Linked DNA regions of Diceros bicornis minor. The protein of the gene in region 2 interacts with the protein of the main gene of each other region in a biochemical or structural test. Links are inferred from orthologs where the notes say so. Each region holds a gene or a part of one and is shown on either strand. Other genes may lie near its edges.

Evidence for each region.
Region 1: the proteins of SEC31A (region 2) and SEC13 form a complex in vitro, tested with the Homo sapiens proteins (2 studies listed by BioGRID and IntAct, with this or other methods). The link is inferred for Diceros bicornis minor from reciprocal best matches to the Homo sapiens genes SEC31A and SEC13.

Annotation. Positions count from the first base shown.
Region 1 is NC_080741.1:86,342,349-86,349,686, forward strand, and holds the start of SEC13 (protein SEC13 homolog), read left to right. Parts: upstream 1-4,158; 5' UTR 4,159-4,235; coding exon 4,236-4,238; intron 4,239-6,619; coding exon 6,620-6,664; intron 6,665-7,338. UniProt on the Homo sapiens protein: Functions as a component of the nuclear pore complex (NPC) and the COPII coat. At the endoplasmic reticulum, SEC13 is involved in the biogenesis of COPII-coated vesicles.
Region 2 is NC_080747.1:67,552,923-67,560,101, forward strand, and holds the start of SEC31A (protein transport protein Sec31A), read right to left. Parts: upstream 3,045-7,179; 5' UTR 2,939-3,044; intron 1-2,938. UniProt on the Homo sapiens protein: Component of the coat protein complex II (COPII) which promotes the formation of transport vesicles from the endoplasmic reticulum (ER).

The DNA.
Region 1 (7,338 bases), on a different chromosome or scaffold from region 2:
TAAATATATACTCTGTAATGTATACTTTTTCTGTTTGGGACTGGACCACCCTCTTAGCTTCTTTTCTGTCTTCTGGACAGGGGCTCCAGGAGAAGGCAGCAGATTCATTTCTGAGGTCTAAGCTCACCAACTTGTCTCCCTCCAACAGATGAGGGACGAGCAGGGGCCCATTCAGTGACCTCTGGGGCTGTAGAGTCACCTGCCTTTAAGGTGGGCAGGGAGGAAACTCAGGCGTTTCCTTCCTGCGACTCAAGCAGTGCTCTCCCTAACCCAGAAGCAGCCTCGATTGCTCCCACCAACCCCTCACCATGGCCCCTTGCCCCCTTGTCCCAACCAAAGCATAGAGCTGACAAGAGGGAGGGTGCCCTGCCTCTGACACCAGACTCATGACAATGACTGCACTGGGGCAGGGACTCTGGACCTGTCTTATCCTGGGTATCCCAGTTACTGAAGAGCCACACTTTTCCCCAGCCATCCTGAAATGCCCCCTTTACCGCAGACTGACAGCTTAGATAAATGTGGGTCTGTTTCTGGAATTTCTCTTCTGTTCCCCTATCTGTGTGTCTCATCTGGCACCAGCCACATGGTTTTAATTACTGTCGCTTTATATAATGTTTTAATATGTGCTGGGACAAGTCCCCTTCACTCTTTTTTGTTTTTTACAAAAATTTACAAAATTCCCTGGTTATTCTCTCACATCTACTCTTCCAAGTAAACTTTAAAATTTTGCCAAGTCCTCCACCTCTCCCCTCCTCCCACCCCAAATACTGGGCCCTGTCATTCTATGTGCAAACATCCCGCCACTGGAAGTACTGTCCACTCAGGCTCGTTAAATAAAGTGTCCTGTGAGGAGAGACAAAAAGGGCGCCCTGAATCTTGAGGGAAGCCCAATGTTCCTCCCATCATCTCACCTGTCCCCTAAGCCAGGGTGTCATCAGAGAGGCCACCGAGCCACCACCCAATCTCAGTTTGAGACCCAAAGTCACCCCCTTTGGTTGTGCTGGGCTAGCCCCTCCATCTGCCCTGGTCCAGATGAGAAAGAGGGGTGTCCCCCAGACCCAGAACTACCAGAATGCGGGGCCCAGTTGCCTCTATTTCTAATTCTCCTCATGGAGAAACATTTATTCCTGTCTCCCTTTCCTGAACTGCTTTTCTTTGGGGGAGGGTCAACTCTTGCTCTTCGTTCGGAGTTTTCAGTAGTTGGGTGACAGGCCCTTTGGGGTGCAGCTGTTTCTTGCCTGGCCTTTCTCACCACCCGGACTCCCCTCCCCGTTCTCGCTCTACTTACAGGAGGCTGTCACCCGGGTGCACTGTGACGTGCCTCGCACCCCAAACTCTCTCCACAGTCTCTGAGATCCCACCATTGGAAGAGCAGGGCAGGGTTGCATTTCTAGAAGGCTTTTGGGTCTTCCAGAGCCAAGGCCTAAACCAGACAACAGCAGAAAATCCCCAAGTCTTCTCCAAGTTCCAAAGCAAGCTCTCCTGACGTTGACGTAGAGATCCCACCCACCCGAGTGGGGGCCGGGGGGGTCCCAGGCCCTGGGCATCAGCCATCACCCCCTCCACCAAAAGCAAGAGATTTGAGGCCGCTTTCGGACCGCCCTTCTCAGCCCCGAGTCTGTTTTGTAATGCCTGTGGTGCTCTCCCTCCGGACCTTTCCTCTCTGGGGTCACCACACTTTGCTAACTCTTGTGTACACATATTTTATAACAGAGTAGCGAGGAAATGGTGCCACCTCCAGCTTCCACAAGCTGCCTGGGCTCTGGGGGGCTCTGGGGGGCTCTGGGACAATCGGGGCTGGGAAATGACTGTGCTCTTATTGTACACTCTTTATTTCTCTGTATCTCTGGCTTGTGCTCTTTGTAATTAATGGGATTTGTCTGCCTTTTCAACACTATACTGAGCAATAACAATAAATGCACACATGGAAATGCAGACACGGTACACATCACAAGGCCTTTTTCCGTAGGCTAGCTGGGTCCCTACCCTCCGTGGATTTGAACTTAGGGGGAAACTGAATCCCTGGGAGGGAAAGGCACTTTGCCCAAGGGTGCACAGCGCAGTGGGAAGTCTCTTTCCTTCCACCTAGTCACACCTTTCAAACATCCACCGTTCAAGGGAGACAAGTTTAACCTGCCATGAGTCATTAACCTTTCACAAGGAATGGCTGACAGTCCCAGAGAGCAAGACTTTGGGGGAAGGGGCCTCAGGAGGAGGAGGAGATTCAGGGGCAGAGGGTCTGGGAGGTAGGGGCACAAATTGGAGAAAACTAAGAATGGGCTGATTTGGGGTCTGGGATTAACCAGAGGGAGGTGATGGGAGATATGGACATGGGATGTAGGTGGCATCCCCTACTAGGGAAGGGGAAGGCAGAGGGGAGCCTGGCACCCTAAGAGTCTGAACTTTGCAAACCTCTGCTGAACATCAGCGGAGAATGAGAATGTGCCCAGATCAAGAGATGGTCCCAGTGTTGGTACAAAGGGTGAGGGTTGCACATGCACACCACACACACACACACACACACACACACACACACACAAATCCCAGCTCTTTTCAGAGAGAACTGATCCCCAGATCAAGCACCACAGGCCCATCCAACTTCCAAACACCGTTTCACATCCAAGGGTCCCTTTAATCCCAAGATCCACCTTCAGAGGAGGTATTATAACTCCCACTTGACAGAAGAGGAGACAGCAGCTCAGAGAGGTGGAAGGTGTGCCCACCTAGTAAGTAGGAGAGTCAGTACTGATACTTAGCAGTCTTGATCCCAGTATCAGCACTCAAAACCTCCATGTTATAATGCTTTTCAGTCCCACCAGCAAAGACCCTAATGAATAAGATACAGTTGCATTCCTTGTCCCAAATCCCCAGTCTCTCCAACTTCAATGCCAACACCAAGGAATTCCTTTAATAACCACTATGCCCCATGCATTATATTTGTATTATATCTAATATGCCATTGTCCCCATGTCCACTTGAGGAAGGCGAGGCTCAGAGAGAAGTGATTTGACCTTATCACCCAGAGAATCACTGGTGCAGCCACAGAGCCAAGGCCAGGGCCTGTCCCTTGAAACACAGGGGGCCCAAGAGCCCCGCCCCTTTGTTGGCTGCTCCGCCCTAACGGCACGCCTTCACACCCCTCCAATATTTCTCCATTAGAGGGAAGTGAGGAGTCTTGAAAGCTGGGGTGGGGGTGGAAGGGTGGGTTGCTGCCCAGAGGCCCAGCCCTGAGTTCTGTGAGACGCCACTCGCTGGGCCCCCGCTCCAAAGCTCCTTGATGGTCTGGGTGTGTCCCACTCTCTGAGCCTTAACATCTTCCCTCAAGCAGCACCCTCTCCAGCTAGGGTTCTCACCTCCAGTTTCAAAAGAGGAAATGGAGGGACTGCGACGTACCCAAGCAGAGTCTAGTCTCCACCCTAGTCACCGGACTCCTTACTGCCATGAGCGGCCGAGGGCTGCCAGATCTGTGTGGCTGAGGGAGCCCCCGGCCCTGTCCAGCAGTGCAGCGTTCTCACTGTGCTTGTGGGAAGCGGGGATTGGGGTCAGGAGCCCCGGGGCTTGGGTCCCGGCTCTAGCTGCAGGAGCCTGGCTGAGATCCCTCCTTGCCTGGGGGCTCTACCTGTGAGCCAGACTCAGGGGATCCCAGCTCTCCGAGGAAGGGGCAGTTTGGAGCATGGGTCCCCCGGCTTGGAGAGGGCTCAGCCTCTGGTAGGGGGCATTTCCTGGACTTCTCTGCCCCTGGTCCCAGCCTTGGGTCCTGAGGAGGGACTAACAACAAGGAAGCACGAGGACCGGTCTCCCGACTCCCCCCAGAACTAATCAACCTACAATGGTCATCACAAGGCCGGCCGCACCCAGAACCGCAGACAGGCGGGTGACGCTGTGGGTGTGAATCCTTTCTTTCGTATACGGATCTCAGGAAAAGGGAAGGGTTGATCCAGAGCAAGACAGCCTAGATCTTCATATTCCAAAAGCCCCTGGTCAGGGTCGCCGGGGGAACGAGAACCCCACCCCGCGAGTCTCGCGCGTTCTGCAAGCAGAAGGGGCGGGGCCGCGGGGGGAGAGGTGGGGGCGGCCTTTGGAAAGCGCGGAACCTTGGTGTGAGCTGGCGCGTTGCTGCCCGGAGGCTCCTGCGCCGGGGCCCCACGGCCTGCCGGCCCGGCGACGGAAGTGAGGCTTTCGGAGGCGCCGCCGGGAGCTGCCACGTCCGAGGCCGGAGCCGGCACACTGCAGACATGGTGAGCGTGGGGGCCGGGGCGCCGAGCGGGTCGCGGCCTCCCGGGATCCTTGCCGCGCCGAGGTCTGGGGGCTCCGGCCCTGCCCCGCCGGGCGGCTGGGGTGCAGAGGGGCGGCCCCGGGCCCCGCCGGAGTTGTGCGGCCGCGCCGCGCGCCCCTGCCTGTCCTCTCCTCCCCCCCCGGCGGTTGGAAAGAGCCCCCGACCCGCGGGGCTCCTGCGCCCGAGCCCGGGGGCAGCCCGGCGTGGTTGGCAGTCAGCCCGCCGGCGGCCCTCGAGCGGGCGCCGTCGCCGTCCCCGCCGACCGGCGCGGAGCCGCGGGGCCAGAGGCCAGGCCTGCGGCGCGCCGAGGGCCCGAGCCGGGATTCGCCCCGAGCAGTCCCGGTGCCGCCGCCGCTCTCGGCAGCCGCTGTGGCGGGCGCCCGGCGCTGTGCGGGGGGCTGCGCGGCCCTGCGGCGGGGCCGTGTCTGCGCCCTCCGCGCGGCTCCGGGAGTGCAGGGACGGCCGCCTGAGCCCGGCGCGGGGGTCGGGAAGGCAGGCGTGCCTGCGCCCCGAGGGAGCCCGGGGGAGCCGGGAGTCCAGACGCTGGCTGCAGCTCCTGCCCTGCAGGCGCGGGTGCGAATCGTGCATCTGCTTTAGCCTCTGGTTCCTCAGCTGCTGAGAAGAGTTGGGGTCTTGTGCTCTGACAGTTAGCTCGTTCTAAATGGACTTTTAACTCGTTAACTGATTCTGAAGAGCTGAATTGTGAGGGCTGCTTCTTAATACTTAACAAGGACCAGACGACTTGAGGTGCTTGGGAGGAAGGACTTTTTAATAAAGGGTTTTGTTTTGTTTTCTTAAAAAGCACTTGTTGAGAAGCGGGGTTCACCAATCCTGTCTGGGGTGTGAGAGTAGTTGAAAGTAAGTGCTGGTTATCTCTGAGGTCCTTTGGTTAGCTGGTATGAAACTACCAGTGAATTTTCTTCCTGACTCTCCTTAGCCCTCAGCCAGTGATTTAGGGCATTGGATGTAACAACTACTTTATGTTCTAGATGAGCAGACTAGTGGAGTGGAAAGCTCGGTGGGCTGGGAGTTAGCAGGTGGGGCTCTTCCCAGCTCCACCTTTATCTAGCTCTGGGACTTTGGCAAGTGCTTTCTCTTCTCTGGGCTTCTTCAGTTCTTTAGTCTGTCAGGCAGCTCTGATTAACTCTGCTCTTCATCGTTCCCACTGCACATGTGATGGCACTTTGTAATCTAGACAGCTTGGCACACGTAAGAGACTCTTCTCTTTTATCCTCCTTACCTGCCTTTGCAGACCGAGGGGGCCCACTTTTTAGGGAGTCTAGACTTCGGTGAGAGAACTTGTGCTTACTTGATGTGTACCTTTTGGACTGCTTGGCAGCCATCCTCTTCCAGTGTTCACCTTTCTGAAAAGTCAAGTCAGACTTTATACCTGCAGGTCTTGTGCTGGAAAAGGATGAAATGGGGAAATGGTAAGAAATATCAGTTCCAAACTGAAACCTTTTCAATCCCGGGAGTTTGAAGAGAACAGTGGTTGAGTAAAGTAAAACTGTCTGTTTTTGTTCGTTTGCTTATTCATTCCTTCTGGTTGCAAAGCATTGTGCTGGGTGATTTGAGAGGATTCAAAACTATGGCCAACGCAGACCTTGGCTTGAGGGAGCTCACCTAGTTGGGAGAAGAAACAGCGTCAAGTGTTGTAGACATTCAGTGCTGAAGATATTCAGAGGAGTCCTGCCACTTGGGGGATCTGGGAATCTTCAAAAAGGGGGGCATCATTTGAGCGGGATCAGTAGGTGACAGTCTGAGATCTGTCACAGGGGGTGGGCCAGGAAGCAGCCTCAGGAGAAACTTGAATCAGTTCTCCAGGTCTTAGGTATTAACCGTGTTATGCAAAAAACTGCCTGGAACATGTGAGCCTCTGTCATCCTGGAAGGGAACACCAGCCACAGCTCCCTCAGGGACCCTCTTCACCCCCAAAGGTAGCGAGGACTGCTTGCTATGCCCCCTCTTGGTTCCTGTTATCCCCTTCTGCTTGGACTGTGTTTTTTCCCAGTGCCACCTGGCACTTGCTCCTCATCTAAGCCCCAGTTGGTGTCTACCACTAGTGGCCCATTAGGCTGCTACAGCACTCGTAACCACCGTCAGAGCATTTATCTTGCCATGTTCAGGTTACTTATGTGCAAGCTTCGCAGGGGCAAGAAGTACCTCTTATTTGTGTCTATATCTCCAACCCCTTGGCAAAAAGAAGGTACTTAGAGTGAATGTTTACTGAATGAATGAATGAACAAATGAAGTCAAGAGCTTTAGAAATGATCTGTGGATTTAATGACATGATTGTATTCTAACTGCCATCAGTTCATTTACCAATGATAACTTTGGTTCTAGGTGTCAGTAATTAACACTGTGGACACCTCCCACGAGGACATGATTGTAAGTATTCCCTTAGCGCTCCCTCCCACACTGTGGACATGGGCATTTCTGTGGGAGGGAAACATTTCTGTTGATCATTCATGAATCCAGTGTAGCTTTGCAGCCTTTACCAGTTAGGCTGTAGCCTCAGGGGTGTGGTCAGCCTCCCAGCAGCACCCTGTGGGTTGGCAGGGCTGTGGCAGTCTGGTCGCTCTCTGGTGGGAGGAACGTAGGATTAGTTTATAGCTCAAAGCCCTCAGTCTTCTGGCCAACAAAGTAACCTGCTCTGGGATAGAAGCTGAGTGGGTATAGGTTTGACAATAGTCTTCCCACCTGTCTTCTTCCTGAGGCCACTTCTTAGCCCCATTGGAAAGGGGGTTAAAAGAACAGAGAGGAGGAAGATGACTCAGTACAAATGCAGAGGCCAGGCACAGCGAGAGCCCAAGGCAGAGCCAGGTAGGACCACCACAGACACCCTTTGACCCAGAAGACATTAACTGAGGGCATTTCCGAGAGGCAAACACAAGGCTCAGTATAAGAGGACAGGGCCGTGGAGAAGGTCCAGAGGTTAAAGTCTCCAGCAGCAAAGATGCAGACTCGGTGTCATGCAGGGCCCAGCAGTCCAGGCAGCCTTACAGCCTTTTATCCCAGAGTTCCTGCCCTCACAGCCTGCCCACCAGTAGTTGCTTTTGGGC
Region 2 (7,179 bases):
TTAAGTTCGGCACGCTCCTCTTCAGCGGCCCAGGTTTGGTTCCTGGGCATGGACCTACACCACTCATCGGCAGCCATGCTGTGGTAGCGACCCAAGTACAAAATAGAGGAGGACTGGCACAGATATTAGCCCAGAGAGAAACTTCCTCAGCAAAAAAAAAAAGAGCAGTTTTGCAGCTTTGTGTAATTTTTTCAATATTATGTGATTAGAATTCACACTATGCAGATTTGTTTTATTCAAGACTATTTTACACAGAACATAATAACTTTGAAAATATAAAAAGAAAATTGTGAAGATAGTCATCTGTAAGACAATATCTGTAGCATAGCAGTTAAGAGTGTGGAGTCGGGAGCCAACACTCTCGGTTTAAATTCCAACTGCACCATGTCCCAGCTCTGACTTTAGGCATGTAAGTTTACCTATGTATGTCTTGGCTACCCACTTGGTAAAATATGTACAGATGGTCCCTGATTTACGATAGCTCCACTTACAATTTTTCAACTTTATGATGGCGAGAAAGCAATATGCATTCAGTAGAAACCATACTTTCAATTTTGATCTTTTCCCGGGCTAGTGATATGCGGTACGATACTCATGATGCTGGGCAGCACCTGAGAGCCACAGCTCCCAGTCAGCGACTCAATCTCGAGGGTAAACAATGGATACACTCACAACCATTCTGTACCCACACAACCACTCTGTTTTTCACTTTCAGTACAGTGTTCAATAAATTACATGAGATATTCAACACTTTTTTATAAAATAGGCTTTGTGTTAGTAATCTGTCCAACTGTAGGCTAATGTAAGTGTTCTGAGCACATTTAAGGTAGGCGAGGCTAAGCTATGATGTTCGGTAGATTAGGTGTATTAAATGCATTTTCCACTTATGATATCTTCAACTCACAATGGGTTTATCAGGACGTAACCCCATCAGAAGTTGAGGTAGATTTGTACAATAAAAGTATCCATGCCACAGAGTTGTTGTAAGAATTTGCACAGTGCTTAGAACAGTGCCCGGCATGTAGTAAATAAATGCTTGTAAATGTCAGCTATTACCAAAGTCACAATTTAAAATGTTTATCCCAATAAATCTTCAAGAATACATCTCTTGAAGAAAAATTTATGTTCCAGAGTAAAACTTTCATTTTTTTCATCCAAATTTTTCTCCACGATCATTGCATGCAGTTAAGTGGAAACTTTCCGCTTATTTTCTAAATGCTAATTTTGTGAAACAATACTAAAACCCAACAGTACTATCTCTAAAAAAATACCAACCTTACAATGATATATAGAGAGCTGACCCATACCTCAAAAAGTTAAAAGTGAAAGAGGCAATAGAATTGGAAACTCTGACTCCCAAACCAGGAATACAATCCCTAGCTGGCACGGCCTTAATAAAAATCCATCTTGTGTGGGCAAAATATCTCATTATGGATGGGCACACGTGTTCTAGAAGATTTATTCAGTGTTATCAATGTTCTAGGCTCATCTCAACCAAATCAAAGAAGCAACTGTGCATTGGTTACTGAACTAAATAGTGTCATACTCATCTGCAATCTAATAAATAAAACTTTTTGAGCTGAAATTAACCTAAGAATGACATTTCTAAAAACAACGTAAAAATCAACTTAATAATACTACCTTATATGAGTTTTTAACTTGGGATACATAAACCTCATGAAATGATATAGTTTTGTATATCATTTCATTCATATCATTTCTATATCATTCCTATACATGTACGTGCATTTTTCTAGGAAGATGATCCAATGCTTTCACCAGATCCGCAAAAGGGAGTGAAATCCCAAAAGGTTAAGAACCACTGTTCTTCAGTTTACAAATTTCTTTCTATTCTCATGTTATTAGCTTCAGAAAAGAACCTGTTTATATAAAATTAAGCAGTATAATTCTAAATCCATTCCAAATCTCATCTTTCCCAAATAACCTTAGATGTGTGTAACATAAATTCACAACCACAAAAACACTTCAAGTTATCCAAAAGTTCTTAAGAGTCTACAAATCTTTCCCAGAGCTGTAAGTGGGGACAATGAGAAACAAGGAGCACAGAAGAACCACTAAGAAAAGGTGAGTAAACTTTAGCCAACACTAGAACAATCGATATGTACAGAAAACGTAGGCTAGTATGATACAAGGACGAGGCTCTAATTATGGATTAAATACAGTTACAGTTGCCGACAAACACAATAAATTTTAGTCTTCTGTAGTTAGAGAAGGCAGTTTAGGAGGAAGGATTTGTCACAGACCATCACTGCAATTTCAGAAAGACCTACGTAAAATTAGTTCCCTGAGCTCACAGAAAAGTTTATAATGCCTACAAGCTCAGGCAATATTTTGATTTATTTTACACCTGCCCCGCAATTTAACCTCTTATCATAGTAATTTACTAGCAAAAACGTACAACACTTAATGAGACTTCCTTCGACGTATAGGCTGCGATCTGCGACTACTGTCCTTAAAATAATCCAGTCCTGGTTAAATCACAGTAGCCCTCAGTTAAAACTTAGGAACCTTCAAATTTGGCAACAGTTGAAACATAAACAAAAAATCCCGACCAAACTAAAGTCAACCAAAGTAATCCTAAGGTTTGTTTCCTTCCCTTGCCCTTGGGGACCGCACCTCTCTGTGCACAAGGGTCTGAAGGTCTCCTAACCTCAGACCCCAGCTACCAGCCCCGCAAAACACCCTGTCGCCAGCCTCAGGGGCCGATGCGGACCGGCGCGATGCCCGAGGCGGCCGTGACGCCAGGCGTCGTCCTGCCGGGCCCGAAACGAAGACCAGGGGCGCCCTGCCACCAGAGACCGGGCCGCAGACGAGCAGGGACCAGCGGTGACCGAGGCCAGGGTCCCCGCTTTGGCCCGGGATCTAACTCAAGGCCCGCGGGCCGGGGAAGGGGGCAGGAGGGAATGGGCGGACGCACCTGGCGGGGACCCTCGGCGACCAGTTCCTGCGTGAGCGCGGCGCCCGTCAGACTCTCCCAGCATTCGCCGCCGCCCCTCCTCCCCGCCCAGGGCCACCTCCACGTTCCGCTCCAACGTGGCAGCCGCAGCCCCACCCAGCTAGCCGGCGGACGCTTCCGGGAGCTGCGCCTCGCCCCGCCCACTCCGGCGCGCGGCCCACCTCGGCACTTCCGGAAGCCGTGGCAGGCCGGGGGCGGAGCGTGCGGCGCTGGCGGCGTTCTCGCCCGCCTGTGAGGCCGGGTACCCTTTCGGAGGGGCGGCGCGCGGGGCGCGGTGGCGGACTACGAAGAACCGGCCTCCTGGGTGTAGCTGTTTGGCCGAGGACAGACCGCGGCCCGCAGGAATGCCACGTAGCACCAGTCCTGTGAGACGTCAGCAGCCCCCGCGACACTGCCAACACCAGACAAACCACGTGAAAATCGGGCTGCAAGGGCCTTAATGCAGTAATTTGTGTCTGGGTTCTTAAAATTGCTTACTTGGTTCGACAGCATTGCGTTTTGAGCACTTCTTTAAAACCAGAGGATCTGGTCCTACTCAAAGGCTGTTGTGGACAGTTGGTTATTCCAGAGGCGTAGGGGTAAGGTATTCCAGTTAGGACCCTGTGGTCCTGTTTGGGATCTATTATTTGCCCTCAGTCCCTGGAAATTGGCTAGTTTCGCCAGAGCCTGCCATCTAATTAGTGCGTTGCCTGAATGTCGTTTCTAGTTTAGGGTTACAGCGAAGTAAAGCCAGAGGAAAATCACTTGCTCAAGTACCGGAACCTGGATTCAACCCAGGTCTCCTAACTTCTGGACCAGTTCTCTTCCCATTACACGGATCATTCAGTCAACTCTCTTTCCTAAAGCCTTTTCTAAGCGCCTTCACTGGATGTTTCTTTCTTGTACACAACAGGTAAAATATGCGAGACACTATTTAAATACTAGAGAGTAGGCATATTTTTATAGTTTTACTGCACTCTTTCCAACACCCTTTCAGTGTCTTGTACTTGTACTTCAATTTAAAAAGCAAGTTTTTTTCTGAAGGAAATAGACCAGCTCGAGTGGATTACTTAAGCTACAATAGCTAATTTCTAGTGTTCTAAAAAGCCTTCCATTTTTATTTATAGCTGCAAGGACTAGTTTACCTAAAGAAGTGACAATAAAAAATCCCTAAACAGAAAACACTGACCTCCCTACTGCCCCATTCCCAAAAGACCCCCAACTACATATAAGTGTGCATTGGTATGAAAAAAGGGTTCATTAGAACAACTCTCCCAAAATAGCACATTCTTTGGTATGATTTAATACAATCACACAGTGCAACTACACGTTCCTCTTGCGTTCAGTCAAACTATAAACCTTCCCGTCCCTCACCCCCTTCTGTAAGCCCTGTGGACTAAGAATGGCAAAAAAAATCTCGACATGCAAAAATTATATGAAATCAGTGTCCCATAAAGTTTTATTGGAACACAGCTATGCTCAATGGTTTATGTATTGTCTACTGCTATTTTAGTGCTACAAGGGCAAAGTTGAGTAGTTGATAGAGAGACCATATGGCCTGCAAAGCCTAAAATATTTACTATATGGCCCCTTACAGGAAGTTTACCAACCCCTATTCGATTTGACAGGATTTTCCCTACAAATGGATTAATTTCAAAGTCCAAATATAAGACATTCAATATTATAAATTTTTAAATCAAAGCCTTGTTATAGTAGCACACAAAAGCACTATGAAAAATGTCACTTATAATTTATAAATGGTTATGATAAGGCTAAAAATAAACTATAGCCATTTCTAGATGTGATGTATTTATAGTTGATAAAATATAGACTCCCTAGCTTGTTTTAAATGCAGGCAGTTCTTGCTTTGACTAGTAAACTAAACTATGCAAAGCAATCTTAATCTTTGGGATTAATAGTCTGTGATTGTTCTGTGACCTTAAAATTTGTCAAAACACTCTCTTGGTGTTAGTTATAAATGTAAAAAAGTAAAACTAATATTTAAAACATTAGAAACACTGGAAATTAGTGTTTTATTTCTTTACAAAAAAGTATCAAGAGTAGTTTGAACACTGCTTGCTTTCTTCTCATCATATAACTTATGATATGGAGCATCTTTTCTATGCCTTGGCAAATTGTCATACTCCTAAATTTGGATCAGCTCCCAAAATTTTATCCTTTGAGCTTTCAACATCATGAAATATCTGAGAGTTCCTTTAATGTGAAGCTTTTCCACTGGCATCACTTCCTCTGAGACAAGTTCATCCTTTGTGACACAACCACTTTCCTCATTTATAACTGTATGTTCGCCTTCACTAAGTTCCTCTGGCTGCATATCTAGAACTGCTTCTTGAGCGGCGGCGGTGTCAACATTCCCATGGTCATCTGTATCTTCAGAAGTCCATTTACATCCCATCCAAATCCTGCAGTTTTGGACAATATAGTCTCATACTACTGTGCAAAGCGAGGACTGCCTATAATTCTTGGAATCTGGGTGCAAATTTCACAGTAGTATCCTTATGTGAGCTTGCAGCTTCACCAGATAACATTTATCATGCCAATTTCTGCAACAATGAAATCACCCTTTACTGGCAATAAAATGTTCTTTTTCAGTCTCCTTGTAATTACCCTTTTTCTTCAATGTAGCAACTAACTTCAATGCTTTGGCCTGAATGAAGCCAAACTGAATGGGAATTGTTTTTGATTAGTCCTCAATCCAAAGTAGAAGTAAATGCTCCATTTCAACCATAAGCAGCATTCTGTTCCTAGTGCAATTTAAACTGAAAGATGTTGAAGCAACTTTACCTTGTTTTTTACATTCATCAGATTTTTTAATATGGTTTGTACTGTAGCTTCATGTAGGCCTAGGTCTCATCCTATCTTTGCTTTGTTGTCGCCATTTTCAAATCTTCCGACCACATCCAATTTCACTTCCAGTGTTATCACTTTTTGTTTCTTTGCTGCCTGTCATCTTTGTTGACCAATTCTCTTTTTTGATTATCCATTTTTGTAAAATGTCACATGGGTTTATCACTGGGAGACAAGGAGGCAAAACAACTACATGCTTTACTATCTGTATGTGAACTAACAGATGGTTAGTGACCAGTCAGCAACTGACTTTGAAAGAAATGATGTGTAACTGGTTACTGATCATGATGCACGTCTTTTATTTGCATAACGACTTGTGGAATAAAGAGCTAGTAGCAAAGTTTATGCAACAATTCCCAGTTAGTACCATGGTAACTGAAATTTCAACTGTGTTGTTGGGGGACTGGTGATATTTAACTGAACGGTGAAAACTGATGTTCGTGCAATGTTGAAATGGTATAAAGGACCACCTGTAACTAAAAAGAAAAACCTGTATTAGTTCACACAATAGTCAACTTTTAATCCAATTTAGTTAACTACTAGCCAAGCCTAATCCTAGATCAAATAAGAACTGAAGCTTTTCTCAAAGGAATGCTAGTTCCAAGACTCTGAATTACTCATTGGAGCTAGAAGAATGTTTGCAGATAATGTAATACAGAATTCTTCAAATTAGGATTTGCAGACAGTCCAAAGACATCCTTTTGAGAATTTAGGCCCCTTCCCCTCATTTCAATCATCTTGAGGTCTGCAAAACAGTAAAGTTCCAGACAACTCTACTATTGTCCAGATTGTAAAACTTTACAATCATCAGAAGGCATAAGACTGTATGTGTTTATAACTTATTCCATAGCAGCCAGTACCATGTTCACTGCTGCAAAACAATAGCATCCATCCCATTGTTGTTTTAGTTTTGTTTTTGAATGCATTTATTTTGTAAATCTTTTCATTAAGGACCATAAACAAAGTTTATATCACTTTTATGTTTGTAGAAATTTAAGAAACAGGAAATTAACTTAAACCAACATTGAGAATTCACAAGAATTTTTCCCCTTTATATTCCTCAAATTTGAGAAACACCGGAAGATAACATACCTAATTAATGACAGATTAATCTGGTATTAGATTTGAGATTCCCAGCTTCCGACCACCTGCCTATCTGCTGTTCTTGAACAAAGCTTAAGTTACACAATGGTCATCCACTGGCTTATCAGAGTCATTTACAAAATATCCAATAGTTCAGCAAATTTAAACCCTGGAACATATGCTCTCTAAGAATTTCAGGGGCTGAACGGTTACATCATTGTTTTTAAGAAAAGATGACTACCAAGGTTAAAAGTCCGCCCCCCACCCACCCA